Linked DNA regions of Callithrix jacchus. Each later gene encodes a partner of the first gene's protein in a complex. Links are inferred from orthologs where the notes say so. Each region holds a gene or a part of one and is shown on either strand. Other genes may lie near its edges.

Region 1 (7,800 bases):
AAAGCTGGGATTATAGGAGTGAGCCACAGCACCCAGCCTTTACCCCTGGCTGCTGTATCTGGTCCTCACCACACCAGCCACACACACATCTTGTCCTCGGCCTGCTCCTGCCTGGGCTCTGGCCCCCTCACTCCTCTCTGCTTCAGTTCCATCTCTTGAGGAGCCCTAGGCCTTTCAGTGAAATGTTCTCAATTTTTTTAAATTCTGAAACAAGGTCTTGCTCTGTTACTCAGGCTGGAGTGCAACAGCGCAATCACAGCTCATTGCAGTCTCCGCCTCCCAGACTCAAGATCGTCCCACCTCAGCCTCCCAGGTAGCTGAGACTATGGGCGTGCACCACCACACCCAGCTAATTTTCTTATTTTTTGTAGAGACAGGACCTCCTTATGTTGCCCAGGCTGGTCTCAAACTCCTGGGCTCAAGCGACCCTCCGCCTCAGCCTCCCAAAATGCTGAGATTATAGGCATGAGCCACCAAACCCAGCCTTTTAAAATTTTTGAGAGTGTCTCACTCTGTAACCCAGGCTGGAGTACAGTTGTGTGATCGTAACTCACTGTAACTTTCAACTCCTGGGTTAAAACGATCTTCCTGTCTCAGCCTCCCATGTAGCTGGGACTATAGGTTTGCAACACCACACCCAACTGATTTTTTTTTTTTTTAGATGGGGGTCTCACTATGTTGCCCAGGCTGGTCTCAAATTCAAGTGATCCTCCCACTTCAGCCCCCCAAAGCACTGGGATGAGCTACTGTGCCCAGCCATGTTCTCATTTTTAATCCTGCCTCAGCCACTACCACACTCTATAACCTCACACAAGTCACGCCCCATCTCTTAGCTTCAGTTTACTCATCTGTTAAGTGAAGGGCTAACTCCATCTCCGAATGAGGATGGCTGTTCTGAGGGATGCAGATGAAATGCTGTTACAAATCGGAGCCACTGTCAGTACAAGGGAAAGTATAGAAAGTAAAGAACCTCAGGCATAACGAAGAGATGCAGAGGTTGAGGGAGTCCACTGCAGAAGCATGCAGAATGTGCAGAGTGGGCAGCACTCTAGATGTATGAAGAAAGAAACCAGCTTTCATGGCGGGCCTGTTGTTTGCCAGCCCTGACACCAGCTGCTTGCACACATATTAGCATTGAGGTACAGTAACCCTGGCTTTGCCTCTGCTGAGCTGTCTGATTTGGGGCAAGTCAGTCACCTCCTCTGAGCCTTAGTTTCCTTGTTGTTTTTTTTTTTTTTTTTTTTTTTTGAGATGGAATTTCACTCTTGTTGCCCAGGCTGGAGAACAATGGCATGATCTTGGTTCATTGCAACTTTTGCCTACTGGGTTCAAGCAATTCTCCTGCCTCCCAAGTAGCTGGGATTACAGGCACATTCCGCCATGCCCAGCTACTTTTGTGGGGTTTTTTTTGTTTTTTTGAGACAGAGTTTCGCTCTTGTTACCCAGGCTGGAGTGCAATGGAGCAATCTCGGCTCACCGCAACCTCTGCCTCCTGGGTTCAGGCAATTCTCCTGCCTCAGCCTCCCGAGTAGCTGGGATTACAGGCGTGCGTCACTGTGCCCAGCTAATTTTTTTGTATTTTTAGTAGAGACGGGGTTTCACCATGTTGGCCAGCTTGGTCCTGATCTCTTGACCTCGTGATCCACCCACCTCGGCCTCCCAAAGTGCTGGGATTACAGGTTTGAGCCACCACGCCCCGCTACTTTTGTGTTTTTAGTAGAGACAAGGTTTCACCATGTTGGCCAGCTTGGTCTTGAACTCCTGACTTCAGGTGATCCGCCCACCTAGGCCTCCCAAAATGCTGGGATTATAGGTGTGAGCCACCACACCTGGCCTTAAGCCTTAGTTTCCTTATTTGACAAACCACACAGGCCATGGGTAAGAATAAGCATCTGTGAAATTATTCGATATACCTTAAGGAGGCATTCGCACAAGAAGCCCAGTTCAGGGGAGTGCATGATGTCAGTCTCTGTGCTCAGCCGCCAAAGCTTAGTTTGGACTTCCACAGCTACCATCTCCCAGCTTTGAGTATCTCTCTGTCAGGAGAAATCAAAGAGCACAGCGTCTACCTCCTCTACAACCCACACCTACATGACTGACCTAGGAGCTAGACCACATAAATCTTGACCCAATGAGTCTTCTTCCACACCTGACTTCGGAGAGAAAAATCAATTCATCATACAAAATGTGTTGTGAGAAAGCGGGCCAAACCCATCCCCTGGGTTTTACAGAGGAGAAGCGCCAACAAGCTCCATCTTCCTGCTGAGTTTAGACTTTTCATCATCAATGCAGAGGATATCAATGCAGAGGTCAGAGATGTCTTGCAGAGGGATAAAGGCTCCTGACCATGGCAGGCTGACGGTCACTCCAAAAAGAGAGAAATGGCCCGGTGCCAGTCCCTCAGAACCCAGGCCAGGACTGCAAGCAAATCATTTAGAGGAAGAAGCCTCAAGACCCTGAAGAAGCCAAAGGCCATCTCCAAGAGAACACTCCAGCTTGCCTGGTTTCCTTCCATTCAAACCATAACCATTCTGTCCTCCCCCTTTGTAACTCCATCCCCAAACACAGTAACTCTTCCATCTACCTGGTTAGCCCCCAGCTTTCCCCCCTTATCTCTCCCTTCCTCCAGCAACTATGGAAACCTCAGCCATCCTTCACCTGATCCAAACCACCAACCACATCTCCATCCAGCTTTACAAGTGAGGCCAAAATCACCCACTTCCCTGACCCAGCTCTGACACTGCTACCCAGCACTCCGACACCCCGGGTCTCACTCATTTGATTTGATCCCCTTTCCTTAACAGTCCATGGCCTCTGCCTCCAATCACATGACATCCCTCCCCACACTCAGCTCAGGTCTGGTCTACAAACTAAGCATGCTCCCGACTCTTTCATGGACATCGTATAACCCCAGCATCTCAGCTACACTCCCATAAACCTTCTGGGGCCTGCCTCCCTGAGCTCTTGGTCACCCCATAAACCTGCTTGCCTGCCATACTCCAAACAGCTCCAAAACCCTCCATCTTGTTCCAGAAACCAGTCTATCTTTTCTAAGGACACTTAATATTCATTCATTCTGCAAATATGTCTTAAGCACTTACTGGGAACCAGGCAGTGTTCTAGGCACAGGAGCTGCAGCAGTGATCAGGAGCCCTCAAGCAATGTGTGTGTGGCCAAAGCACTTTTATAATTTTGGCTGCCACACCCCCAGGACTCCTCTGTATATAGTAGCGAAACGGCAAACAGTGACGACTCACTGTGTGCCAGGAGCTGGGCACAACACTGCACAATCTCACTGAACACTCACATCAACCCCATAAGGCAGATCCAACCATCATTCCATTTTACAGATGAGAAAACTGAACCAGGTAGATATAACAATGATTCGGCGGGAATGTGCCAGGCCCTGAGCAAAACGCTTTACCCGCCTTACCTCATTTAAACCTCATGGCAATCCCAAGAGGCAGGTTCTGAGAATTCCTCTTTTTAGATGGGAAGAAACTGACACTTACAAAGGATACTGATGATAATGACAATAGTGAACATTTATTTCGAGCTTACTTTACCGGGTAGGACGCTGAGCACCTTTCCTACTTTATCCCATGGAATCCTCGCACCACCCAGCAAGGCACGTCCCCGCTTCTCAGATGAGGGAACTGAGGCTCAGGACGGCGAAGTAACTTGCCCAAGGTCAGCGAGAGGCAGCTGGTAGTCCCGAGACTCGAACCCAGGTCTCTCCAACTCCAGAGATCGCGCGACTTGACCAAGGTCACACGTGAAGCAGGGACAGGCGCGGTGACTGGACTCGGCGCGCTCGGCCCCTTCGCCCCGCGCCCCAACCTCCCCTCGGCGCGGCCCGGAGCCCCTCGGGGCCCCCCTGGAGCCCAGACCGCCGGGCAGCCCCGCCCGCCCGCCCCACGGAGGCCGGCACCTCCCCTCCCGCCTGCCGCCCCGAGGCCCCCGCGGGCCGCGCCCGGCAGGGCCCGCGCCGCCTCCGGCCGCTGCGGCCCTCACCGCTGTCGCCGATGATGAGCAGCTTGAAGAGGTGGTCGTAGTCCCGGGCCATGGCGGGCGGGGGCGGTGCGCGCGGGCGGGCGGGGTCGATACTGGCCTCGCGATCCGCAGCTCCCTCCGGGCTGCTCCGGCAGCGGCGGATCCACTTCCCGAACAAACAGCCGGAACTGACAGAAACACCTCCCTCCGTCCCCCTCCTCCTCCTCCTCAGCAGCCGCCGCCGCTGCCACCGCCTCCCTTCTTCCCGCCCCGCCCCGCCACTGCGCAGGCGCGGCGTCTGGCACCGCCTTGCGCAGCCGCAGCCCGAGCCGGCCGCGCCCTCGCCGCGCACGCGCCCCGGCGGAGTCTCGGCGCGTCTTTCTGGCGTGTCCTCCTGGAGCGTCGCAGCAGCTGTTCGCGGCCCTGAGAGCTGGCGGAGCGGAGCCGCTGTCAAGACCCAGCTGAAAGAAGCCTAAGGTGCCGGAGAAGCCCGGCCGTGGACGTTCTTTCTCCCTCATCTTCGAGACCCGCAAGCCCTGTGAGAGGAAATGACAAGCACGCCACGACCGTGGGGCGGGGCTCACGCGAGCTCCGAGTTTCCCGAGTCCGGGGCTGGGGACATGGAAGGTAGAGTCGCGCGAGGAATGGCCGGCACCCCGCCCCTTCCGCACCGACGCTGCCCTCGCGGAGCTGGCCCCCGCCCCGAGCCTGTGAACTGGACGCCGAGGGCGGCGGGCGGCTCCCGAGTTACGCAGAACGGGAGCTGCCGGCGGGAGCAGAGCTGCGAGGCTGTGAGCTTTGAGGGCAGCGCGGGGTCGAAATCCCATCCCAGCGCTGTGACCTCCAGAAGCCCACGTTGCCTCTTTGCTGGAGGGGAGGGAGTGGTCCAGGTTCAGAGTCTCGTGTAGCTCGGAGCCGAGCCTGGGAGCTGAATGACCCATTGTGCAAGGCGCACCTCGGAGACCGAAAGCAACCACTTCCCGGGCTTCAATTTCACACCACCTGCAGATACACATCTCAGAATCTGCGGCTGGGAAGACCTGGGCCGCCAGAAGCAAAGCATGTGCATTTTATCATCAGCCCCCGCTTTCTCGTTTTAGAGTGAGTTCCCACCTGCCCTACCTGAAACACCTGAAAGTAGTATGCCCCCACGGCCATTTTCAATGCAGAACTGCAGAGGGTTTTAAGCTCCTATTTCTTATAGCCCTGTCCCTTTCCAGGCGGGTATTTGTTGGATATTTCTACTTTTCTATCAAACTTCCTTTTCTTTTGAATTTATAAAAAACAATGCCGGGAGGTTAGGTAGGAGAATCGCTTGAATCCGGGAGGCGGAGGTTGCAGTGAGCCGAGATCGTGCCATTGCACTCCAGCCTGGACAAGAGCGAAAACTCCGTCTCAAAAAAAGAAAAAAAAAAAAAATTATGCTTGTCCTTAAAATTATGTGCAGAAGTTTACTGAAAAGTACAAGTTACTATTTTTGCTTCTGAAGCACTCCTCAAGGTAAACCCTGTTAGTTTTTAACAGGTAACCTTAAAATGCTTGACACATACTTGTTGAATGAGTAAGTGCCCTCGGTGAATTTCCTTTGCCTGTACAATCATATGTCTACCTTTTTAACAGTACACTTGTATCATTTAACAGCTGCGTGCGTGGTATGGTACTCTATCTGATGGTTGTACTTAACCGCCCTGCTATTAATAGACACTCATGTTGTTTATATTTTTTGGTTATTATAAACATTGTTGCTGGGGGGATCATTGAACAACACACGGAGTGTCTGATTCAAGCCTTGAGTTGTTTTTCCGGGAGCTGAGAATCAGTGTGGTGATGTCTAAAGAGCATGAGCTTGGAATCTGAAGGTACTGGCTAGGGAGAAGAGCTGCTCATGTGCTCCTGCTAATAGAAAAGTCCCCCTTGGTCTGGAAGGTTGGGGCCATCCTCTGACTCAGCAGCTTTAGGAATTATAGGGTGAGAAGGAAGTCACCCAGCCCTGACCAGCCAGCGAGGCAGTAGGTCCTCCCAGCTCATCTTCACAGCCTTGGCTGGAGTCAGGAAGACTGGTTTCAATGTTAAGATTGGAATCCTAGCCTCCATCCCTTAAAACCTTTGTGATCTTAGATAAGTCACATCATACTATCTCAGAGCCCCTGTTTCCTCACAGAACGGTTGTTTTAGAGGTATGTTCGTAAATTACCTGGCACATGTAGGCATGAGACTGACCGTAACCAATGTTACTCAAGGTCATTTTGCACTGACTCATTCATACTTTGAGCCATTTCCTGTTATAGACTATAGCACACATTTCCAACTTCCTAATAGGGCTGCAGGGTATTTTTGGGAAATAAATCAAAATTGACCATTAAAACCAGATTCCTGACTTTGCCTGGATATGCCATCTGGAAAGCAATCAGCATGAATTCTTCATTTATTTGGTAACTGTTTAATGAGTGCTTATGTGCCACAGATTGCAGAGGCCTTTTCCCTCCAGTTTACAGCCTTATCAGTTAAGACATACTCGTGAGGAAATTGAAAATATAGGACAATGCAGATAGAAAGCTGTCAAATACACAGTCTAGACTTCAGAGGAGGAAAGCTATCACTTTTAGCTGTAATGATGGGGAGAAGATTTCATCATAAAGATTTCATGATGGCACTGGAATATGAGAGCTTTGAGTGTCTATTTTTAGACAGCTGCTGTCACAGCCTATGAGAATCCTCAATTTTGGCTCGGAAGGGGAAATCCCTGCAGGTCAGGGTTATGTGCCTGGCATCTCCAAATGAATCAGCACATTTTCCTCCAGAATCATTGTTACAGATTTATTTAAACTGCAGTTGGATGGTGAGTTATGTTAAACTGTCTCTCTCCTTCTCACCATATAGGTATGTAAACTTTTGTGACCTAAAGTATCACTGTGTCCTGTGATTGGAAACTGTTTCACCGCTCTGAACAGGTAACTTAGAGATGAACTTTTATACCACCACCTGTGTGCACGTTAGAAACTATTAACAATGAGGAGGCATTGAAAGTTTTTGAGCAGAGAAGCAATCTCAAAATACTATTTTAGCAAAGTAATCTAACAGGAGTATGCAGGATGGATTTCAGCTGCAGAGCTTTAAAGGTTATTGCTGAAGCCTGGGTGTAAGGTAACAACGGACAGATGCAAAAGGCAATACGCAAACAGTATAACCAGACAAAGCAGATTCAAAAAAGAAATCATGTAATTTACCTGGTAACTAGATTCATCCCTTAATTCAGTAAATATTTGCACAGTTACTGTGCTGGACCTGGAGGCTGTAACATGAACAAAACCAAGCTCCTGTCCTCATGGCATTTACAGTTTAGTGGCGGAACAAGTCATTCATTTGACAAATATTTGATGACCTACTGCATGCCAGACATTGATCTAGGAGCTGAGGATTCAGCAGTAAGTAACATTTTAAAATGTTAAAAGCTTTCTTAGCACTTCCATTCTGATGGGGAATATAGGCAACAAGTATGTCCAAGGAGAAAACTAAAGCAGGACACACTGAGGTTTGCAGAAGCAGACAGTGAAGCCATGGGGGCGGCAGAAGGTTTGACGGTGAATTAAAAGAGAAACGGTGAAACTGATGAACTATTTTTCAGGATAGTGGAAGTAGAGGATTAGCAGCCAGGGAATAATAATGAGTGAATATTCAGAGGGAGGATGGCTAAGTGCACTTCAAAGAGCTTAACACTTGACAACAGCTGGGAAGTAAGGTGTCACCAACTGGAAGGCAAAGTGGGTAAAGGAGAGGGGGACCTCAAGGGCAGTAGTCAGGGATGAA
Region 2 (7,058 bases), on another chromosome or scaffold:
TGCAGTGATCAGTTGATCAGTTTAACAGTTGTTTAGTAGATGTGTGAGGATCATATTTTGGGATAACTACATGTATAAGAAGATTTAAACATTGAAAAATTATGTTTTATTTCTGTTTATTAAATAATATGGTGGCTGATGTTTAACAAAAGTATTTTGATTTTTTTCATTATGGCCATCTTTGCAAAAATAAGGTGGTATTTCATTGTGGTTTTGATTTGCATTTCCTTGATTCATTAGCGATGTTGAGCATTTTTTCATGTTTGTCGGCTATTTGTATATCTTCTTTTGAGAATTGTCTATTCATGTCCTTAGCTCACTTTTTGATGGGATTTTTTTTTTCTTATTGATTTGTTTGAGTTCATTGTAGATTCTGGATAGTAGTTTTTTTGTTAGATGTATAGACTGTGGAGATTTTCTCCCACTCTGAGTTGTTTGTTTACTCTGCTGACTATACCTTTTTCCATGCAAAAGCTCTTCAGTTTAATTAAGTCTCAACTATTTATCTTTGTTTTTATTGCTTTTGGTTTCTTGGTCATGAAATCCCTGCCTAAGCCAATGTCTAGAAGAGTTTTTCCAATGTTGTCTTCTAGAATTGTTATAGTTTCTTATCGTAGATTTAAGTTCTTAATCCATCTTGCATTGATTTTTATATAAGGTGAGAGATGAGGATCCAAAATTCATTTTCCTATATGTGGCTAGCCAATTATCTCCTGAAAAGGGTGTCATTTCTCCACCTTATGTTTTTGTTTGCTTTGTTGAAGATCAGTTGGCTGTAAGTATCTGGGTTTATTTCTTCATTCTCTATTCTGTTCTGTTGGTCCATGCGTCTTGCCCAGATTTCATCCTGTGATTTCACATAAGAGTAATGTTCTCTTACGTTATTCCATTCTTTAACCACTACTGTTAGTAGTAGACTAAGGTGGTTAGCATCGTAGTTCTGGTGCTTAGTACTTCAAAGAGTTCTTAGTCTAGAGTCTCTCCTTCCAGTCCTTTCTACAAAAGACTGTCAGGGTAGACTTACTTAAACTATATAAAGTCCCAGCTGAAAACTTTTTGTTTCCCCATTTTCTATAGAATTTGTTCAAACTTTGGCTAGACTTTCAGGACCATCCATTTCTTAGATTCAGTTGAATTTTTTTTTTTCCTCCTCTATTCTGGTCACATAGTTTTGTTGAGCTTCTTGAATGAGCATCATTACTTTAGGACAAAAGTCACTTTGTTGATTATGTATTGTTAGTCTAGAACTTACTCTTCACTTTTGTGAAACCTCTTGTCATACAACTTAATGCAGTGTTTTTCTTTCCTGTGATCTCTGCTGCTTTATGTCTGCATCTTCTTTTGTTGCACACTGCCAAAGTGGAAAGGTTTAATAGTCATTTGGAGACTGGGTGGTAAAAAGCTAAGGATAACCTGGAATTTTTAACCCAAATTTGGGAGTCAACAGTAGACATAGTTGTAGCTGTTTAAAGGATAAAATATAGAAGAGCATAGAGCAGAGGCTAAGTTCTAATTGCCCAAATAGGCTATAGGGAAAAAGAAAGGAGATCCTGTGAAAGAATTGGGGGAAAGAGCAGTTAAAGAGTAACTTAGACTTACAGGTCATTGAAGCCAAAAATGTGCAAGGTTTATGGTTAGTGGAAATGCAATAGAAAGGCCAAGGGAAAGGTCAAGGATAATAAAGAAGAGCCTGGGATTTTCCAAATAAAGGTCATTTATCTTTGAAAGTGTTATATTTATAAGGTGATTCTGGCACTGTCAAAGAGTTCAGGAAAATTGAGGTGCTAAGACAATGGAGGTGGCATTGAGAAATACAAATATGCTCTCCTTAAATTTGAGTATCATATTTGCTCAGGGGTAAATAAATATCTTAGCAAAATACATCTCCAAAATTTCAGGTATTGAAACACTTCATCTTTATTGATAAGAACCATAAATTAAAGATTTCTAGGTCTTTTTCACTTAGGATTAGAAGATTTTGGTTTAAGTCACAGTCAGTAAATGTGTAATGTTAGTCAAGAAAGTTAACCTCTTTAGATGATCCTTTTTTTTCCATTTGAGAAATTGAGCATGTCAACTTTTGAGAAAGTTGTTTTAGTAATCAACTTTCTCAAATCAAATAAATAAAGTGATATATCTGGATCTACCATGAAGAGCTATTCAGGTGTTAGGTGGTGGTAAATTGAAGTTTCATCTCATATGGAGAAAATGTTTTCTTCTGAAATAGCTGCATTGTAGCTGAAATAATCTTGTCAAAGGAATTTCATTGACTATGTTCTATTCCTATTTATATAGGAATTTGACTGACTATCGTCTATTCCTTAATAGTTATTCCCATAATTAAGAATTCTTTTTTTTTTGTTTGTTTGAGACGGAGTTTTGTTCTTGTTACCCAGGCTGGAGTGCAATGGTGCGATCTCGGCTCACCGCAACCTCAGCCTCCTGGGTTCAGGCAATTCTCCTGCCTCAGCCTCCTGAGTAGCTGGGATTACAGGCACGTGCCACCATGCCCAGCTAATTTTTTGTATTTTTAGTAGAGACGGGGTTTCACCATGTTGACCAGGATGGTCTTGATCTCTTGACCTCGTGATCCACCCGCCTCAGCCTCCCAAAGTGCTGGGATTACAGGCTTGAGCCACCATAAGAATTCTTATATGCACTTGAATTAATAGTCTATGATAGTTTTTCAAGTCTTGTACCTATTTTAAAGTTAAAATATCGTGGCTCACGCCTGTAATCCCAGCACTTTGGGAGGCCAAGGCGGGTGGATCACGAGGTCAAAAGATCGAGACCATCCTGGTCAACATGGTGAAACCCCGTCTCTACTAAATATACAAAAAATTAGCTGGGCACGGTGGCATGTGCCTGTAATCCCAGCTACTCAGGAGGCTGAGGCAGGAGAATTGCCTGAACCCAGGAGGCGGAGGTTGCGGTGAGCCGAGATCGCACCATTGCACTCCAGCCTGGGTAACAAGAGCACAACTCCATCTCAAAAAAATAAATAAATAAAATAAATAAAGTTATAATATCTTTTTTTTTTTTTTTTTTTGAGACGGAGTTTCACTTTTGCTGCCCAGGCTGGAAAGCAATGTAGTGATCTCAGCTCACTGCAACCTCCGCCTCTTGGTTTCAAGCGATTCTCCTGCCTCAGTCTTTCAAGTAGCTGGGATTACAGGCGCCTGCCACCACACCTGGCTAGTTTTGTATTTTTAGTAGAGATGAGGTTTCACTGTGTTGGTCAAACTGGTCTTGAACTCCTGACCTTAGGCAATCCTCCCGCCTTGGCCTCCCAAAGTGCTGGGATTACAGGCATGAGCCACTGTGCCTGGCTAAGTCATAATATCTTAAGTGTTGATAAAATCAGCTGTTACATTTGTTTACCATGAATAGTTAATTGTATTTGATTTCAGTAACAGACTCCTAATGTAATGTATCTGGTGTAATGCTGTTAAATAAGTGGCAAATTTGGGACTAGGACACTTATCTTCAGCTACTAGAAGAGATTTTAGTTTTATGCTGACAGATTAAAATTGATGATTATGGAAGTTTTTGTTCCTGTACAAGTGGATAATGGCCACTAGAAATCACATATTTTTATAAAAAGTTAATGTCTAGTGAAAATACTTTTTTTGGAATATTTCAAAATCATTAAATATCCACAGCATTCTCTAGTAATATGAAAATACTTTCATTAGGATTTTTCTAGCATAAAATTAGCAAATCAGCATTTAAAATAATATTTATAATTACTTTTATTCAAGTATTTTTTAGTGGCTAATGTGGCTACATGGGTTTTGTCTTAATTACACAGCGAATTGTTGTGTAAGCTTCTCCCATGAAAGTAAAATATTCATTTTTTTCTCTCATGTGTTATAAGAACCAAGAGATATTTATTGCCTGTGAGCAATTTCTGAAAGATCAGCCCTCTCTAGTACCGGTGAGTTAAAAGGACGTTGGCTTCTAAAAATCGCTATTAAATAGGAAAAATAATCATTTATTTCACTATGCCTTTAAGATTCACTCCAGCTCTTTGGGAAATGGTAAATTTGATTTCTTTAAGAAAATTAATCATTGGAATATATAATATTTTCTGTTTATACTATCTTGTAAAGCATAGTTTTATAAAATACAGTACTATTAAAAACCATTGCAAATAAAACTAGCTTATAGAGACCAAAATCTATGCATATTCTCCATTTTCAGTAGTAGTAATTTTGAAGTATATTCACAGCATGAGATTTGTCACATTTTTTGGCTCCAAGATCACAGAAGATCTTGTGATTTTTCTCCTATTGTTCTTCCATCCTGGAAAATTATACATTATGACTGTGTTAACTAGCCTTGTTCTGACGAGTTCAACTATGCTCAAGTATTGGCTAGAGTGTTTCTTTTCTAATTGTTAATAATATGATAGTATTAAATATGTCCTTATGTGATTAAGATATTTAAATAATTTTGAAGATTAATATGAACAGAAAATAAAACATTTTTTGGTGATTAAGTTGCACGTTGATTCTGGGTGGTAAATTTGGGAATATTGTTGGTAACATGACAGCATATGTACACAATATACTCTTTTAAGTATTGTGATGAACTCTTGTACTTCTTTGAACATTAGAAAAGCTAATTGTTTGGCGGATGTGTGAAGATCATATTTTGGGATCACTACATGTTTAAGCAGTTTTAAACATTGAAAAATTATATTTTATTGCTATTTGCTAAATATTAGGGTGGCTGATGTTTACAAAAAAAGATTGGTTGTTACTTACCATAGAAACTTAGGAATCTTAATAGATGTTGATATATTTGGTTAGCAAGCTTTAATTTTTCCAATCTATGTCAACTAAATGTGTTTTAATAATATATATGTTTCTATGTGTGTACATGTGTGTGTGTGTATATATAGTGTATATATATATGTATATATATATATGTATATGTACAAAATAAACCTTTCAATAATGTACTCTTTTTTGCCTTAACACTTTTCCCTAGTCTTATCTTAATTTTAAGGTCAAATATTTTTAACCAACTCTTAACTTTTTGCATGGTAAATCTCATATAAACCTCCTAACTCATTTAAGAATCTTTCAAATTCAACAAATACTGAATTTCAGTCCATGGCATTTATTAATTCTCTCAATATATTTTCTTTCTGATTTTCATTACAAATTGTATGTAATGATACCAAGTTTTAATTATCTTTTTCATATGTGATTTGTTTTTATTGATTAGCATTCCTACTTCATTACCCCTGATGTAACTGGACTCCCAACAATACCTGAGAGTGTAAGTTTTCTATTTTCTGTATTAATTATTCTTATATTATTAATTTTATTTAGTTTGGTCTCACTGTTTATGCATTTTTATATAGAGAAATAGGATACATTATAATTATCTGTGTTTATGATAAATAATGAAGAAATAAGGAATATTGATGTTATTTTCTTCTCTTCTTTTTGTATCTGCCCCCTTTACCTTCTTCTTAATATCTGGTTGTAGATAAGGAAAATCAAGCAGTAATAGGAGGAAAATGATTTCTGTCACTTGTAATAATTAGGTAGGATCATATATATTCAATTAGGTTCTCAGGTTCTCTGTATCTGATAGAAGAGATGCCTCAGGAGATGGCTTCTACTGTGGAGAAGAATACTAGCAATGGGAAATGTCTTCACACAAATTGTTACTTTAGTGAAATTATCATATTATTTTATATTCCTTGTATATAATGCTTCAAATCTTATCTGTCCTGTTCTTAATTTCCTGACTTTAATTTAAAGCAATACATATCTTTCAAGGTTTGATGGGTATTATAATAAATTATAAAAATTGCTAAAATTTGCATTTTATTTAGAGTCATAATGGTAGCCATACTAGAAATATTTTCAGTTTTTAATAGTTATTACAAATTTATATTTTGTAGAAAAGTTTACATAGAGAAGTGGAAGTAACAAATATGCTTTTATGATTTGGATAACTGTGAAAATGAAATATTTCATTATGTAATTTTTCTTCAGCTTCCCTTGGAAAGTTAAAATGAATCTGTAGGAATAATTCATTAAAAGTAAAGGAAAAATCAACAGGAAGAAAGTATTTCAATATATACTTATTATTTTCTTTGGAATTCTAGTGTTTTTCCAAATGTTTTCAAACCCACGGAATGTTTGGTTTCTAAAACCATGTGGGTAGTGAAGGAAGTCCAGTAATACAATTGTAAATTTTCTGGTATCAAACTAAGACTATCAATGGTGTTTTCAGTACAGATGGATCCAGAAAACCCTGATGAAAAGCCTTTGTATCAAGTTGCTCTTATGGGCCTGAGATAGGTGATCAGAGCTCTCAGGTTACTGTAGATCCTAAAGCCTCAATTGCTGTACATTGTGGGTCAGGTACTCCTTGTTATGTTTTCTTTAAGGCTGACTGACCATGCCTTGACTTAAATGACCCTTGTCCCTTCACTTCAGAGTTTCACAGTCAAAGTTGCTCCCATCTACTCTCTCTCCTGTTTACCTTTCTCTTAGATTTACTAACAAACAACTAATAGCTTAATTTAACAAAAGTCACATTTTTTAAAAGACGATTACTTTGAAGGTTTCAAAGAAACAAACTTTCAAATGAAAAACTGCCACTGAGAATATGTATTTTTACACATCTATTAACATGTTTTACTTTGCACAAAGTCCTCTTTAGGGAAAAGAAAGCAAGAGCATAAGCATAAGGTAGCACTCTATGCTGAGAAATAATTCCCCATCTAAGAATTATACCTTTCTTTTAGATTATAGGAAATATACTAATGTTAAATGACATGAATTTTTATATGGAGAGCTGAATTGGAAGATGAGAAAACAAGAAATAAAACTCTTCCCACCAAATTCAACATCACTTCCTGATAGTTACAGGTTTTATTGATGTGCTCTGTCGTGATTATCAATTTGTGTTGGTAAAGTTTCTACCTTTTGGACATTGAAGAAATAATTGGATTTCTTAATTTCTTGGCCAACTAAAAGTTTTAGCCTGTGAGGCATAGTCCACCTGATACTGCAGTTTTTGTTTGTTAT
Region 3 (7,816 bases), on another chromosome or scaffold:
GCAAAGATTCTTCAGTAAGACACCAAATGCACAGGTAACAAAAGAAAAATCAGATTTCAAATTTTAAAACTTTTATGCATCAAAGAACACTGTTAACAGAGTGAAAGGCAGTCCATGGAATAGGAGAAAATATTTGCAAATCATATATCCGAGAATGGATTAATGTCCAAAATGTATTCAAAAACTCAACTCAACAACAACCCAATTCAAAAATGGGTAAAGGACTTCAATAGGCATTTCTCCAAAGATACAAAAATGGCCAATAAGTATCAAATACATGAAAAAATGCTCAATATCTTTTTATTAGAGAAATGTGAATCAAAATTATGAGATACTACTTCACACTGATTAGAATGGTTATTATTATTATTATTTTGAGATGGAGTTTTGCTCTGTCACCCAGGTTGGAGTGCAGTGGCACAATCTCAGCTCACCACAACGTCAGCCTCTTGGGTTCAAACCAGCCTCCTGAGTAGCTTGTATTACAGGCGTGCACCACCACACCTGGCTAATTTTTGTATTTTTAGTATAGATGGAGTTTTAGCATGTTGGCCAGGCTGGTCTTGAATTCCTGATCTCAGGTGATCTGCCTGCCTCGGCCTCCCAAAGTGCTGGGATTACAGGCATGAGCCATCATGCCCAGCCTAGGATAGTTATTATTTTTTAAAAAAGAAAGAGTGTTTCCAAGGATGTGGAAAAATTGGAACCCTTATGCATTGCTGATGAGAATGGAAAATGCTATAGCCACTGTGGAAAACAATATGGTGGCTCCACACACACAAAAAAAAACCCCACAAAAACCAAAACATAAAATTACCATACAATCCATCCATCCCACTTCTGGGTATATAACCACAAGAACTGAAAGCAGGGATTCAAACACATCTGTATACTCATGTTCACAGCAGCATTTTTCATAATAGCCAAAAGACAGATGCAACCAAAATATCCATCAAGAGATGGATAAACAGAATATAGTGTATACATACAATGGAATATTATTTAGTGTTTAAAAGGAGTGAAATTCTGGCCAGGTGCTGTGGCTCACATCTGTAATCCCAGCACTTTGGAAGGCTGAGGCTGATGGATCACTTCAAGTCAGGAGTCAGACCAGCCTGGCCAACGTGGTGAAACCCTGTCTCTACTAACAATACAAAAATTAGCTGGGCATGGTGGTGTGCACCTGTAATTCCAGCTACTCAGGAGGCTGAGGCATGAGAATCACTTGAACCCAAGAGGCAGAGGCTGTAGTGAGCCAAGATCACACCAGGGCACTCCAGCCTGCATGACAGAGGGAGACTCTGTCTCAAAAAATAAATAAAAAGAAAAGGAGGGAAGTTCTGATACAGCCTATAATGTGGATGAACCTTAGACTTTAGGCTAACCAACTGCAGCACTACTCACAATAGCAAAGACAAGGAATCAACCTAAATATCCACCCATGACAGATTGGATAAACAAAATGTGGTACACATATGCTATGGAATACTATGCAGCCATAAAAAAGAATGAGATCATGTCTTTTACAGATACATGGATGGAGCTGGAGGCTATTATCCTTAGCAAACTAACAAAAACAGAAAACCAAATACTGCTTGTTCTCACTTATAAGTGGGAGCTAAATGCTGGGAACTTAAAAACACAAAGGAAACTACAGACACTGGGGTCTTGTTGAGGGTGGGAGGAGGGAGAGGAGCAAAAAAGATAGCTATTGGGTACTGGGCTTAATACCTGGGTGATCAAATAATCTGTACAACAAATCCCTGTGAAACTAGTTAATATAACAAACCCTTACATGTACCCCTGAACCTAAAATACAAGTTTAAAAAAAAAACCCAAAATCAAAAAAGACATTATGCTAATTGAAACAAATCACTCACAAAGGGACAAATAGTGCATAATTCCACTTACATGAGGTACCCACAGCAGTCAAATTCAGAGAGAGAAAGTAGAAAGCCTGGGGCTGAGTAGGGAGAAATGGGGAGTTAGTATCTTACTGGTACAGAGTTTCAGTTTGGGAAGATGAAAAAAATGTTCTGGAGATTGACGTCAGTAATGGTTGTGCAATAATGTGAATATATTTAATGCCACTTGAGAATGATTATGATGGTAAATTTCCTGTTATATATATTTTACCACAATAAAGAGTAAATATGGTACAGCACAGGTTCTGCTATGAGTTATATTTTGTTGTTGTTAGATTTTCCTCTACCCCACCACCTAGCTCTCTGAGCAATGTTGACATCTAGCTGCTCAAAGTAATGCTCTGGTTTTGCATGATGGATTCATTTGACAAAAGTTATATTAAATGCCAATGTCTGAATGGTTTTTTTTCCCCTGGGTAACTTCAACACTAATCAATCAGACCATCTCTAGATAGCCTGCCCTTACCCTAACAGGCAGTGAACCAGCTCTTCAGTCGAGTGACTTTTAGCAGGGTGCACAATCATTGTGTATGAGTAATAGGAAGAAAAGGGTGAGTTATTATCCTAAATTTGCAGATAAGCCCCAGAGAGAAAAATAGAACAGATAAGCCTTCCCATGAACTTGCCACATTTAGCAAGTAAAAATGCAGGCCTCCCTGTTGTTTATCTGAAATTCAGTTTTAACTGGGCACCCTTGTTTTATCTGGCCACACTTAAGTATTAGAGGTGAGCAGAAAAATAATCCAGGGTGTTCTGGGGGAACTGAAGTCTTAAGAGGGAGCCAAGACAGGAAAAAGTAAAAAAGGGCACTAAAAAGATACCATTAAAAAAAAAAATTGTACTGTTTAATCCATCCAGCTCAAGAGTCCGTCCCCAAATTGGGTTTCCATGATCCAAGACTTTATTTTATTTTATATATTTTTTGAGACGGAGTCTTATTCTGTTGCTAGGATGGAGTGCAGTGACGCAATCTGGACTCACTGCAACCTCTGCCTGGGTTCAAGCAATTCTTCCGCCTCAGCCTCCTGAGTAGCTGGGACCACAGGCGCATGCCACCACGCCCGGCTAATTTTTGTATTTTTAGTAGAGACGGGGTTTCACCATGGCCAGGATGGTCTTGATCTCTTGACCTAGTGATCCCCCTGCCTCGGCCTCCCACAGTGCTGGGATTACAGGTGTGAGCCACTGCGCCCCGCCTATTTCATTTTTTTTTTTTTTTTTTTTTTTTTGAGACGGAGAGTCGTTGTCACCCAGGCTGGAGTGCAGTGGCACAATCTCACCTCACTGCAACTTCTGTCTCCCAGGTTCAAGTGATTCTCCTGCCTCAGCCTCCCGAGTAGCTGGGATTACAGGTGCACACCACCATGCCCGGCTAATTTTTCTATTTTCAGTAGAGACGGGGTTTCACCTTGTTGGCCAGGCTGGTCTGGAACTCCTCACCTCTAGTGACCCGCCTACCTGAGCCTCCCAAAGTTCCAGGATTACAGGTTGAGCCACTGTGTCGGCTGGGCCCGATTCAAGACTTTATAAAGGTTATGTCAGAGGGTGGCAGACAGAAAGTGGAAAAGGATAAATCAGAACTAGAAATGGGTGAATGAGAACATGTCCAGCCTCCAGTTAAGGCAGCTGTGACTTCAGAAAGGAATCTTAAGCACCATCATAGAAGTCAGAGGGATCCTAACCTAGCTCAAAGCAGAAGGGAAACCATGGCTGGCCATACAACATAAGTAACAGGATACCAGGTATACTGTTTGGATCTGCTCTTCCATTAAGCCATCCACCACTGCCTGATACGTGAGGAGCTGGCCAGGAGAATCCAATCACTACTTTTATTTGCTGATACTTTGAGCCCAAGTTACAATAATGCCACTGCTAATTAGGTAACTACTTCCTAGCTTATCAACTCTTACAGCTTTCCAGCCGTTGTTTCATCCCTCAGCGATACCACCTGCTTCCCCATGGAACCCAAACCCTAATACCCTCAGGAAAGTAAATCTGCTCAGGTCACCCACCTAAGAATAAACAAAAACAGGTTTCAGGCCCTTTGTCCTTTGAAAATTCCACTTTTGTTTTTTTTAAAGGCCTGTGTTCTTTATCACGGACACTGTTCACATAGTAGTAATCCTTGCCTGACTATGATCTACTCGTTCCTGCGTTTCATTCCTCCGCTACTTTGTGCGTTTTGCTCAATTCTTTGTTCAAAACGCCAAGGACAACTGGTAGTCAAGACCCTCCACCGACACCACCACGGTGAGCCAGGGACCACGCTGGGGACTGAGGATACAAAGATGAGTAGTGTACGATCCTTGCCCCAGGACAGTTCCCTATGTCCGCAGGGCCAGCCTGGAGGGCCACAGCCAACCGTGGGCAACAGGATCACTCACTGTGCCCTTTCGCGGCAAGTGAGTGCAGTAGTAGGGGACGAGTACTGCCAAGCCAAAGGTTTTCCCCAGGTAAAACTGGATGACGGAGAGACGGAGACTGAAGCGACGCCGGCACCGGGCAGATATTAACAGGAACCAGGGGCTAAAAGGGCGGAGGGCGCAGAGGACCCAGCCGGGGACTGGCCGTAGGGAAGCCCCCGCTGCAGTCGCGGGCCTGGGTGCCGGGCGGCCGCGCTTCCCCAAAGCCGTCACAGGGGCTTGGGGTACCACGGTGACTACCGGGCGCGAGTCATTTTGTGGGGGAAGGTGTCTCCAAGGGGGCAGTTTGAGGAGACGGTTGGGGGTGCATTTGGGGTGGCGCCCAAATGGACGGTGAGTGCTGGATGTTTGAAGGTCGCGTGGACGCAGAGTTGACGAGTCAGAGAAGGCCGGGGGTCGGAAGGGCTGGGGACGAGGTCTGACCGGAGGGTCGGGGCGGACGCAGCGGGCGGGTGCAGCCGAGGGGGAAGGGAGACGCTGAGGGCACAGAGGTGGGTAGACAGGCCCTCCCTCCCCTAAGGGAGCCCTTGGAACGCGGGGTAGTGGGTCTGTGAGACCCCGCCAGCCTCCGGAGAGGCGTTCCTACCTCGTTTCTCGCCTCAGTCTCTTCCTTCCGCGCCGGCGGCGGCGGCGTGGTCTCGCACCCTCCAGGGGTCGCGTTATAGCCTAGAGGCGCCAGCGCCCCCTCCCTCCCGGCGGGTTGGAAATGCGGGCCCTCGTCAGCGTGGCTCAATGGTCCAATCTGGGTTGCCCTCAGGTCGCCCCTCCGGGCGGCGGGTTGGTTCAGTCCGCCCGGCCGCGGTGCATGCCCCCTCCCCGGCTCCCACAGCGATGGGCGCAGCCGAGTCACGCGCAGAGCTTTCCAGCGAGGGGAGCGGCGAGGCTTCCGCCGTGGCTCCGCCTTCTGCGGCCCGCGCCCGCCCCCGCGGGGTGGTGACTGGGACGCGCCGCTCGCGGGTACAGGAACCCAGGGAAGCCTAGGGCGCCTCGAGGGCTGGTGGATGTGAGCGTCTAGCTTCGTCTAAGACGGCGGTTCTCAACCCTAGCTCCCCAGTAGAACCTAGTGAGGAAACTAACAAAACAACGACAAACGGAGGCCTGACCTCACCCTGGACCGACTGATTCAGAATCACTGGGGTGGTGTGGTTGGGTTTGGCCCCTCCTTGCATAGCCAGGGTTCCGAGGCCCTGGTGAAACCTAGAACCCATACGCCCCCTGCTCTTCAGGGCCGGGTGTGTAGGGGAGTCTTGCTGCTTCTAGCCAGAGTGGGGTGGGGCAGGCAGTCCTGCAAATATTAGTTATGGGAAACCCACTATATTGGTCCGTTCTTACACTGCTATGGATACTATGAGGGAAAGAGGTTTAATTGACTCACAGTTCTGCACTGTTGGGGAAGCCGCAGGAAGCTTACAATTATAGCAGAAGGCAAAGGAGAAGTAGTCATCTTTTTCATGGGGTGGCAGAACAGAATGAGTGCAAGCAGGGAAATGCTAGATGCTTATAAAATCATCAGGTCTTGTGAGATTCACTCACTGTCACGAGAAGGGCAAGGGGGAAACCAACCCCGTGATCAAATTACCTCCACCTGGTCCCGCCCTTGACACGTGGGGATTATGGGGATTACAAGATGAGATTTTGGGCGGGGACACAGCCAAACTGTTACAGGCATGAGCAAGCTGGAGAGGGTTCTCCCCTTCTACCTACTAAGGATGTCGGCGATGGTTTTGAGGCAGGAGAACAGGGACTGGAGGCAGGGAACCTAAAGTTGTTTCATGCCAACTTCCTGGAACTAAATTGAAAGGAAAACCCTAACTTTCCATACCTAAGTAATAAAAGGACTAGAGACTATTCCCTTTGCAAACCCCCCATCTTTTCTGCACAGCAGATGGAAAATTGGCGGTCTGCAACCAAATAGACTAATTGTGGCCAAGTCTAAATTTGCATAGAAGTATAACTTTGTGACTTTACCCTAGCCTCTGATTTGCAAAAAGCCAATTTTCACATGTGCAAAACGCAACCAATCAGATGTTTGCTCAGGGGTGTGACCTTTGTAACTTCAGCCTTTGCTCGGCTGCTTTTTGCAACCAATCAGACTGATTGCAGGCTACCACTTCATTTACATGAGGTGAGCATGAAGTGGCCAATGGGAAACTCCTAGGGGATATTGGGACCCAAGAAAATGCTGTTTCCCGGCACCTGAGCGCTGCGCGACTGGCTGCCACTCTGTGGAGTGCTCGTTTGTTTTCAATAAATCCTTGCTTTCCTTCTTTTGTTGCTTCATTCTTTTTTTTTTTTTTGCTTTCCTGGATGTTTTGTCCAATTCTTTATTCAAACCGCCAAGAACCTGGTCAACTTGCAGTCACGACCCTCTACTGGTGGCAGTTCCGTAATTATCTCATTGCCTCTTTAAAAATGATAAATTGGCCGTGCTAGGGAGAGGCCATTTCTTGATGTTCCACACCTGTTAACATCAAAATGCTAATTGTATGCAGGCCCCAGGGAGAAGCAACTTTCTGGGCATGTGTGTTAAGAGACAAAAATGGTGAAATATGATCTTTTGGGGGCATCCTTCACTGGAAAAGGGTAATGAAATCACTGCACATTTGGGAAGCCCATTCTAAGGGAAGAATCATGGGAATGAGGCAAGCCTATAAAAGTCCTAGGAAAAAGAATGAAAAAAAAAAAGAAGAAGAAGAAAACAAAACAAAACAACAACAAAAAAAGTCCTAGGATGCCGGGTGTGGTGGCTCAGGCCTGTAATCCCAGTACTTTGGGAGGCTGAGGGGGCGGATCACCTGAGGTCAGGAGTTTGAGACCAAGCTGGCCAACACAGTGAAACCCTAACTCTACTAAAAATATAGAAATTAGCCAGGCATGGTGGTGGGCATCTATAATCCCAGCTACTTGGGAGGCTGAGGCAGGAGAATTGCTTGAACTCAGGAGGTAGAAGTTGCAGTGAGCTGAGATGGTGCCATTGCACTCCAGCCTAGGCAACAGAGCGAGACAACATCTCAAAAAATAATAATAATCCTAGGATGATGGTTAGCCACTTGACCTTCTCTCTTTAACTCTCATGTGCCCACTCAGGTCTCTTCCAAGCACACTTTCCCGTTCTAAGGCCTTTTTTTTTTTTTTTTGAGGCAGAGTCTCGCTCTGTAGCCCAGGCTGGAGTGCAGTGGCATGATCTCGGCTCACTGAACCTCCATCCTTCCAGCTTCAAGCAATTCTCCACCTCCATCTCCACCTCCTAAGCAGCTGGGATTACAGGTGCCCACCACCATGACCAGCTAATTTTTGTATTTTTAGTAGAGACTAAATCTACTAAATTTCACCATCTTAGCCAAGCTGGTCTTGAATTCCTGACCTCGTGATCCACCCTCCTCAGCTTCCCAAAGTGCTGGAATTACAGGTGTGAGCCACCATGCCTGGCCTCTAAGGCCTTTTTAAATAAACTTCCATTCCTGCTCT
Region 4 (7,704 bases), on another chromosome or scaffold:
GTCACCTGCTAAGTTATTTTTATATCTTGGGACCTTGATTTCCATTATTACACTGAAAATACACAAATTAGCCAGGTGTGGTGGTGCATGCCTGAAATCCCAGCTACTCAGGAGGCTAAGACAGGAGAATCGCTTGAACCTGGGAGGAGGAGGTTCCAGTGAGCTGAGATCGTGTTACTGCATTCTAGACTGGGTGACAGAGCAAGACTCCATCTCAAAAAAAAAAAAAAAAAAAAGAAAGATGAAGATAATAATATTGTATTTCTTTTATTCTAAGACTCACTGCTCTCACCCCATCCCACTTTAATGTTTCTTTATTTAGGACATATCTTACAATTGATACCCCAAAGTGCTTGCTTTATCACAGGGCAAGGAAGAAAAATTGTGACAGTGTTATCACTAACTGGGTATATGCAAATTTGCTATCCACAGAAAGATGTTCACTTGATAATTAGCTTAGTTATTTGCCTTTGTGGTGCCATGCAGTTGAATTTTAATTTGAACCCCAAAGTGTCACTTTAGGTATCTTCGAAAAGGCTACCATGTGAAGTATTAAAATAAGTTATTGTATGTGCAGATTAGCTGTCACATATCAGGAATGCAACCAAATGTAGTAGAGATTGCTGACTCTCTTGGTAAATTTGACATTGAAGTTACAATATTAGAGAAGGTTGGCCTGACCACTAATGTGCTTGAGGACCGGGAACATTTAACAGTCAATAGTCTGTTTTTAGCTATCAAGAAAAGCTGTATAGATTCCAGGAATACACAATTAAAAAAAGAAGTTTATAGCAAAGAAGAAATGTATATAATGCTTGTATATTTTTTGAAATGCCTCAAAATTATACTGTTATTTTTCCTTTTTTTTTTGATACAGTGTTTTGCTTTGTCTACCCAGGCTGGAGTGCAGTGGCATGATCATGGATCATTGCAGTCTTGACTTCCTAGGCTTAAGTGATCCTCCCACCTCAGCCTCCTGAGTAGCTGGGACTATAGGCATGTGCCTGGTAATTTTTTTGTAGAGTTGTCCAGGCTGGTCTGGAACTCCTGGAGCAAGGGATCTGCTCACCTCGGCCTCCCAGAGTGCTAGGATTACAGGTGTGAGCCTCCATGTCCTGCCTATACTGTTAATTTCTAAAGATGCTAAAGAGATCAAGATATCTCTTGATGAGTTATGAAAAACAGTATGTCATTATGTTATACTTAGCCAGATGTTAAAAAGGTTATATTAAGACTTTAGAAGTCTGGGTGCATGGCTCACACCTGTAATCCCAGCATTTTGGGAGGCTGAGACAGGAGGATCACTTGAGGCTAGGAGTTTGAGACCAGCCTGGGGAACAGAATGAGATTGTTTGTTTGTTTGTTTTTGAGACAAACAAAATCTTCAGACAGTGAAAGTGAGCGGGCTTAGACTTAAGTCCTTTGATTACAGTACTAAAGATGAAAGTGGTACAATTATAATAGTCAACATTTACTGAATGATTGCTATGTGGCACTGTGTTAACTGGACAACTTTATCAGATTTGTTGTGTTATGTTCATTTTAAAGCGAGAAAGCTAGAACGTAAATCCAGGAAGTTTACCTTCGGATTCTCACTCAAAGCCAACATGCTGTTAGAACACCCTACATATGCATTTTTATAGATACGCCCATACTTTTTAGGTCGGCTTAAAACTTATTCATTTAAATATAATATATCCTTGTACTTTTTACAATCAATGGCGTCTTAAAAATCAAGGAGTATGGCAAATACCTGCCTTGTAGGATTACTGTGAGGATCAGATGATAAATATCTTAAAGTGCTTCTAGAAAAAGTGTTCATTAGAGGCACAGGTGTTGCAAGGTAAGTACGATGAGCCTGGTCTTCAGAACGCCACCATCGCAGAACAGGTGAAAACCACTGGGAGCAAAGTGTCAGTGAGGAGGAATGTTTTCTGCAGTTTTGAGAGGAGTTCCTCCACACGAAGCACCCTACCTCCCATACCTGCTTAAATCCTATGTCCGACCCAAACGCCAGCTCCTTCAGGAAGTGGCCTCTGGTTATATGAGATGATGTACATGGGAGCAATTTCCAAATTATGAAACGGTGAAACCAATACGTGAAAGATAGATTTTATCATTAAAGTTACTTACCCCTGGCCGGGCGCGGTGGCTCAAGCCTGTAATCTCAGCACTTTGGGAGGCCGAGGCGGGTGGATCACGAGGTCAAGGGATCGAGACCATCCTGGTCAACATGGTGAAACCCCGTCTCTACTAAAAATACAAAAAATTAGCTGGGGCACGGTGGCGTGTGCCTGTAATCCCAGCTACTCAGGAGGCTTGAGGCAGGAGAACTGCCTGAACCCAGGAGGTGGAGGTTGCGGTGAGCTGAGATCGCGCCATTGAACTCCAGCCTGGGTAACAACAGCAAAACTCCGTCTCAAAAAATAAAATTAAAAAAAAAAAAATAAAGTTACTTACCCTCGCTCGTCTCCTGGCCTCAGTGTCTCTATACTGAAAGGAAGAAGTAGCTTAGCCCATGTCTTTCTTTTATAACTTCTGACTCTAACCTCTTCAGATTTCTGCCTAAGCTGCTTTAAAAAACAAATTTCTTTCCTTAGACCTGCAGGAGGCAGCTCCTCTGGGCTAGCAGCTCAGCAGGGCGGGGCTCTGGGAGCAGGAGAAGAGGCGGGGGTTCTGAGGGAAGCGCGGCCGCAGCCACGTGACTTCCTTCCCAAGGAGCCTCAGCGGCCGGCCTCCCAGCAACCGGTGCGTCCCGCCTAGCGACGCCTGCCCATCCCGGTTGGCCCTCGGGGGCGGTTGTGGCAAGGAGGCGCCCACGGTCGCGCTGCTCATTGGTTCCGGTTTCCGTCACTCAGACCCGTTGCCCGGGCGCCCGCAGGCGGTGCTGCCGGATACCCCGCCCTTGGCCGCTAGGTTCGTGGCTGGCTGGCCGCGGCTGTCACTCCCCGGCCGTTTCCCTGCGCTCAGTGCTCTCCTTGGGGCGGGAGGAAGAGGGGCCGGACTGCGGCCTGACGAGCCGTCGCCGTCTTCGCGGATGCTATGACCAGCGGGCGAGGCGCCCTTCGCAGCTCCGCGCTACGCTAGTCGCGGCCGTGCGCCCGCCCTAGCCGTCTGCGTCCCCAGCGCGGCCGCTCGCGCGGCCCCCTCGGCTCTGCCAGCGCCGCCTGCGAGGCGAGGCGGAGGCCGGATGAAGATGACGGTGGATTTCGAGGAGTGTCTGAAGGACTCGCCCCGCTTCAGGTAACCGCACAGCCGGGTGGCCGGCGTCACCGCGGAGCTGCCTCCCCGGCGCTGGGGGCGTGAAAGCGGGCTCGCGCATCTGCAGGAGGCCCCGCCGTCCGCGCCTTCCGACGGGGCGAGCGGCAGTTGCCGCCGCTTCCCATTCCGCGAGGGCACTGCAGTCACCACCGAGCCTTCCTAAGGGACGAGGAAGTGGCGGGGACGGGAACGTCGCCTCCTCATCCCTTTCCTCGCCCTCTGCCGGGGCGGAGCGCCCCGAAGGCCGGCGCACCCGCTCCCGCTGGGGGGAAACGGGGTGCAGCAGCGTTCCTGAAGTCTCGTCTCCTTCGCTGGCGCTCGCTCTCGCCGCCTTCCTCCTCTGGCTGCTGTTCCTTTCCCCTTCCTTCCGCCCCTTCTTAGTTTCCACCTCCTCCCCACCCCCTATTTGAGGGAGCTTTCAGAGCATCGCCTCGCAGTTCACTTAGTTCCTCTTTTCGCTTTTCTGCCCCCCTTCCCCCGGGGCGAACTGGAACGCCGACTTCTGCTTCTTGGTGCCCCCGGCCAGAGCGACTCTCCGGAGGGCGCCCGCGGTGGATGCGTGCGGGAATCGCCGGGGGAAGCTCTGTGACCAGCCGCATTCCATGGTCCCTAGTTGATGACTACCTGGCTTTTCTTTCCATTAAGCTCGTTGAAGTGGGCACAGCTGTCGAGAGTTCTGGGCTGAGGGCGGAGGACTAGGAGAAAAGTGCATTTCTGTTTTGAGAACGGAAGTAGGAGGGCCGTGAAGATTGCATGTGTGTTCCTCTTCCAGCAGCCTCTGCCCTGGAGGGCCGGGATCACAGTCGGATGCTCCCAGTGGATCTGTCACGGAGCTGACATGGGGGCACTCCGACTCACATGGGCTGCCCTTCTTTCCATGTGAGAGGTGATGATCCTGAGGTTGTCCAGGACACAGCTTCTTTCTGTTTTGAGTATGGTAGGAAACTCTTGAGTTGCTTTAGACAATGGAGTTTTTCTAGGTTGTGTTTTACAGTGTATTTATTTACAGAGCTTGCCATAGTCCTCCCAAATACAAGGCCTTAACACTTCCATTAGATAGTGACATTTCTTGAAAGCTTCCTCTGAGCATTGGCGTGTGCGTGTGCCCGCTGATGTCTGGGCAAAGCCTGGATTGTAAATTGCATCCTCTGCCTGGGAACTAGCTGTTCTCATCCTTAACACTTAATTGAATTTCTTCTCCTTTCAGTGAAAAGCAAGGAAAAGAATTGTAAAACTAAAGAACTGCTACTTAGAGAAAATTTGCCTTTGCCCTTTGATCATTTTTGGGTGTTAATTTTATTGGAGCTTAGGGCTATTGCTTGTTAAAAAAAAAAAAGCAGAAAACAAAAACCCACTTCCTTTGATTGCTGTTGCGATTAGTTTTCGAAACTTTTATGTTCTGCATAATTGAAGGACTCAGCAGACACAAATAGACTGTCTAGGACAGGCTTGTAGGATGGTGTCCAGGACAGTGTGGCTAGTGGAGTAATTTTTAAAGTGTACCTTAGAAAGTTCAGCTTTTTGTGAAATTTTGTTACTATGACTCAGCTATTTGTTTATTTATTTATTTATTTCTTGAGACGGAGTTTCGCTCTTGTTACCCAGGCTGGAGTGCAATGGTGCGATCTCAGCTCACTGCAACCTCCGCCTCCTGGGTTCAGGCAATTCTCCTGCCTCAGCCTCCTGAGTAGCTGGGATTACAGGCACGGGCCACCATGCCCAGCTAATTTTTTGTATTTTTAGTAGAGACGGGGTTTCACCATGTTGACCAGAATGGTCTCGATCTCTTGACCTCGTGATCCACCCACCTCGGCCTCCCAAAGTGCTGGGATTACAGGCTTGAGCCACCGTGCCCAGCCTCAGCTATTTATTTTTAAGTGAAAAAATTACAGCATTTTTCTCTTAGAGAATGTAGCTTTGAGCTCTTTGTTTCACATTAATTTTTTTTTAAGTTGAGAGAAGTGATTTGGAAATACTTCTAGCTACTGGTGTGTTGGTCACAAACCATGTGATGTCTTTGTTTTTGAAATAAAGGAATCATTGAATATAAAATAAAACGGCAAGATACTGATTAAGTTGTAGGGAATATTATAGTGAACTTTTGTTAAACTTGATTGTAACATAAATTATACGTTAATTAAAATATTAGAGGTTTTCAAGAGTTGTTTTTCATATTCCAATTATTGTTAGCGGCAAATTGGGAAGAGACGCCAAAGTTCAATAACTCCAACATCTTCTGTACATTTTGAGAACACATTTAGATTTGCAATAGAGGGAAGACTGCCTAGAAATAGAAGTTTCATTATCCACATTCTTAATTTTTTATAGTTTTTCTATAATCCTGTAACTTTGAGGATTTGTGTAGCATTTGAAAAGAATGTTTCAGAAATCTTCATTCACTTGCTGTGTGTAAAGGAAGAACTTTACTTTTGAGAGTATTGTGTACATTGAGTGATACTGAAACTTGTATCAAAATAAAACAAGTTTGTGAGGCCTGGGCTTGTTTTTTGATAGTAAGGCAGCTGCACTTGTGTCCTCATCTATTGTGCAGCCTTTTTTTTTTTTTTTTGAGATGGAGTTTTGCTGTTGTTACCCAGACTGGAGTGCAATGGCACGATCTCGGCTCACCGAAACCTCCGTCTCCTGGGTTCAAGCAATTCTCCTGCCTCAGCCTCCCGAGTAGCTGGGACTACAGGCGTGCACCACCCTGCCCAGCTAATTTTTGTATTTTTAGTAGAGACGGGGTTTCACCTTGTTGACCAAAATGGTCTTGATCTCTTGACCTCGTGATCCACCTGCCTCAGCCTCCCGAAGTGCTGGGATTATAGGCGGGAGCCACCGCCCCTGGCCCTATTGTGCAGTCTTTAAACTAATTCCTGTTTTTATTGGTAAATGAATCTCATGGCATGTAAGTTTGGTGTGTGCACATAACTGTCTTGGTGCTGTAGAATGAATGCAAAAGGCACATCTTGCTGATGAAAATTTCACCATCGTTCAGGCTTTAAACACTTACTTTCCTGTTAAATCAATGAGGAGAATCCAAGGCGACTGGTTGCAATAGGGAGATGGTTGTCTCAGTTGTAACATTTTCTTTTGTAATTTGAAGAGTCAATGGTTACTTTTACATTCCAGTCAACATTTTTTTTGTTTGTTTTTAGATTGGAGGGCACATTTCGCTGTATAATTTTGGGTTCCCTTTTTGGTTTTTTAATTACCAGTCTAAAATCAGCTTAAAGGTCAAAATCTTGTTCATCTGAGATCTAAAAATCTTGTTCATCTAAAAATCTACAAGACTGTTGAGTGCCTACGTACACTTTGTCTTCCCCCAGTGGAAATTTTGCATTTTGACCAAATATGTTGAAGTTTGAATTTGTTTGGGCCCTAAATCGTTTATAGTTGCATGTAGTAGGTCTTTAAAATTTTACACAATCTCAGTAAAAATTGTGCTTTTCTTTAAACATATTCTTGGGCTGGACACTGTGGCTCATGTCTGTAATCCCAGCACTTTGGGAGGCTGAGGCTGGCCGATCACTTAAGGTCAGGAGTTTGACACCAGCCTGGCCAACATGGCAAAACCTCATCTCTACTAAAAATACAAAACTTAGCCAGGTGTGGTAGCATGCATCTGTAATCCCAGCTATTTGGGAGACTGAGGCATGAAATCACTTGAACTCGGTAGGCAGAGGCTGCAGTGAGCTGGGGTTGCGCCACTGCACTCCAGCCTGGGCCACAGAGTGAGATTATCTGAAATAACCCCCAAAACCCAAAACATACTGTTCTACTTACGAAGTGAATATTCTGTTTGAAATAAAAAGTAGAATAAATAAATAAAATAAATTGAAAAAATAAAAATCTTTCTGAATTGTGAAAGATTTTTGCTCTGAGCCATGTTCAAGTATAAAAATGTTGTGGCATGGCACAGTGGTTCATGCCTGTAATCCTAGCAGTTGGGAGGCTGAGACAAGAGGATCACTTGAGGCCAGGAGTTTGATACTTGGCGTGGTCAACGTAGTGAGACCTCATCTCTACAAAAATAAAAAAATTAGCTGGGCATAATGGCGTGGACCGTGATTCCAGCTATGCAGGAAGCTGAGATAGGAAGATTGTTGAGGCAGGAGGTCAAGGCTGCAGTGAGCTATGTTCACACCTCTGCACCCAGCCTGGGCGACAGGGCAAGACTCACTTTCTCAACAACAACAAAAATTGGCCTTAGTATGCTTTAGTTTTTAATCTGATCATTCATTTATTTTTCTCCTTTAACAATGTCTGTCATACACCATCCTGAAGGTTTTTCATTTCTAGATTCTATTTCAGATATGATTCTTGTTCAGTAACTTAGAATAACATTTTTTAGAAAAAGGGGTTTGTGGGTGAATTTTGTTTTAGAGACAGTCTTACTTTGTAATCAGGCTGGTGTCCACCTCCTGGACTCCAGTGATTCCC

What was found.
Region 2: the proteins of RAB35 (region 1) and DENND1B are in contact, whole or in part, in a crystal structure (PDB 3TW8), measured with the Homo sapiens proteins. The link is inferred for Callithrix jacchus from reciprocal best matches to the Homo sapiens genes RAB35 and DENND1B. Residues at the interface, in NP_006852.1 of Homo sapiens: Lys10, Leu12, Ser17, Ser36, Tyr37, Ile38, Thr39, Thr40, Ile41, Gly42, Val43, Asp44, Phe45, Gln60, Trp62, Thr64, Ala65, Gly66, Arg69, Phe70, Arg71, Thr72, Ile73, Thr74, Ser75, Thr76, Tyr77, Arg79, Gly80, Thr81; in NP_001182144.1 of Homo sapiens: Met1, Arg4, Glu43, Ser47, Phe51, Val72, Leu73, Thr74, Asp75, Ile76, Glu77, Ser78, His211, Glu212, Arg213, Arg214, Gln242, His243, Ile244, Ile246, Leu249, His252, Leu253, Asp255, Tyr256, Cys258, Ala259, Pro260, Met261, Pro262.
Region 3: the proteins of RAB35 (region 1) and RUSC2 are in contact, whole or in part, in a crystal structure (PDB 6IF2), measured with the Homo sapiens proteins. The link is inferred for Callithrix jacchus from reciprocal best matches to the Homo sapiens genes RAB35 and RUSC2. Residues at the interface, in NP_006852.1 of Homo sapiens: Asp4, Tyr5, Leu8, Phe9, Lys10, Ser22, Leu26, Asp30, Ile38, Thr40, Val43, Asp44, Phe45, Lys46, Ile47, Lys58, Gln60, Trp62, Thr76, Arg79, Gly80, His82; in NP_001129471.2 of Homo sapiens: Val997, Lys998, Asn1001, Asp1005, Val1008, Thr1013, Arg1015, Lys1020, Glu1119, Glu1155, Leu1158, Leu1159, Gln1161, Pro1162, Leu1165, Leu1166.
Region 4: the proteins of RAB35 (region 1) and ACAP2 are in contact, whole or in part, in a crystal structure (PDB 6IF3), measured with the Homo sapiens proteins. The link is inferred for Callithrix jacchus from reciprocal best matches to the Homo sapiens genes RAB35 and ACAP2. Residues at the interface, in NP_006852.1 of Homo sapiens: Arg3, Asp4, Tyr5, Leu8, Ile41, Gly42, Val43, Asp44, Phe45, Ile47, Lys58, Gln60, Trp62, Phe70, Arg71, Thr72, Ile73, Thr76, Arg79; in NP_036419.3 of Homo sapiens: Val715, Ala718, Asn719, Ala720, Asp721, Val723, Thr724, Arg727, Leu728, Arg730, Met731, Glu734, Met735, Ser738, Glu748, Thr749, Gln751, Arg755, Asp756, Gln759, Met760.

The regions. Positions count from the first base shown.
Region 1 is NC_133510.1:123,243,379-123,251,178, forward strand, and holds the start of RAB35 (ras-related protein Rab-35), read right to left. Parts: upstream 4,067-7,800; coding exon 4,015-4,066; intron 1-4,014. Other genes in the region: uncharacterized protein LOC108593240, read left to right, coding at 4,065-4,469. UniProt on the Homo sapiens protein: The small GTPases Rab are key regulators of intracellular membrane trafficking, from the formation of transport vesicles to their fusion with membranes.
Region 2 is NC_133520.1:24,521,314-24,528,371, reverse strand, and holds part of DENND1B (DENN domain-containing protein 1B), read left to right. Parts: intron 1-3,877; coding exon 3,878-3,937; intron 3,938-5,235; coding exon 5,236-5,289; intron 5,290-7,058. UniProt on the Homo sapiens protein: Guanine nucleotide exchange factor (GEF) for RAB35 that acts as a regulator of T-cell receptor (TCR) internalization in TH2 cells. Acts by promoting the exchange of GDP to GTP, converting inactive GDP-bound RAB35 into its active GTP-bound form.
Region 3 is NC_133502.1:142,404,197-142,412,012, reverse strand, and holds the start of RUSC2 (AP-4 complex accessory subunit RUSC2), read right to left. Parts: upstream 5,203-7,816; 5' UTR 4,935-5,202; intron 1-4,934. UniProt on the Homo sapiens protein: Associates with the adapter-like complex 4 (AP-4) and may therefore play a role in vesicular trafficking of proteins at the trans-Golgi network.
Region 4 is NC_133516.1:24,368,221-24,375,924, reverse strand, and holds the start of ACAP2 (arf-GAP with coiled-coil, ANK repeat and PH domain-containing protein 2), read left to right. Parts: upstream 1-2,943; 5' UTR 2,944-3,190; coding exon 3,191-3,243; intron 3,244-7,704. UniProt on the Homo sapiens protein: GTPase-activating protein (GAP) for ADP ribosylation factor 6 (ARF6). Doesn't show GAP activity for RAB35.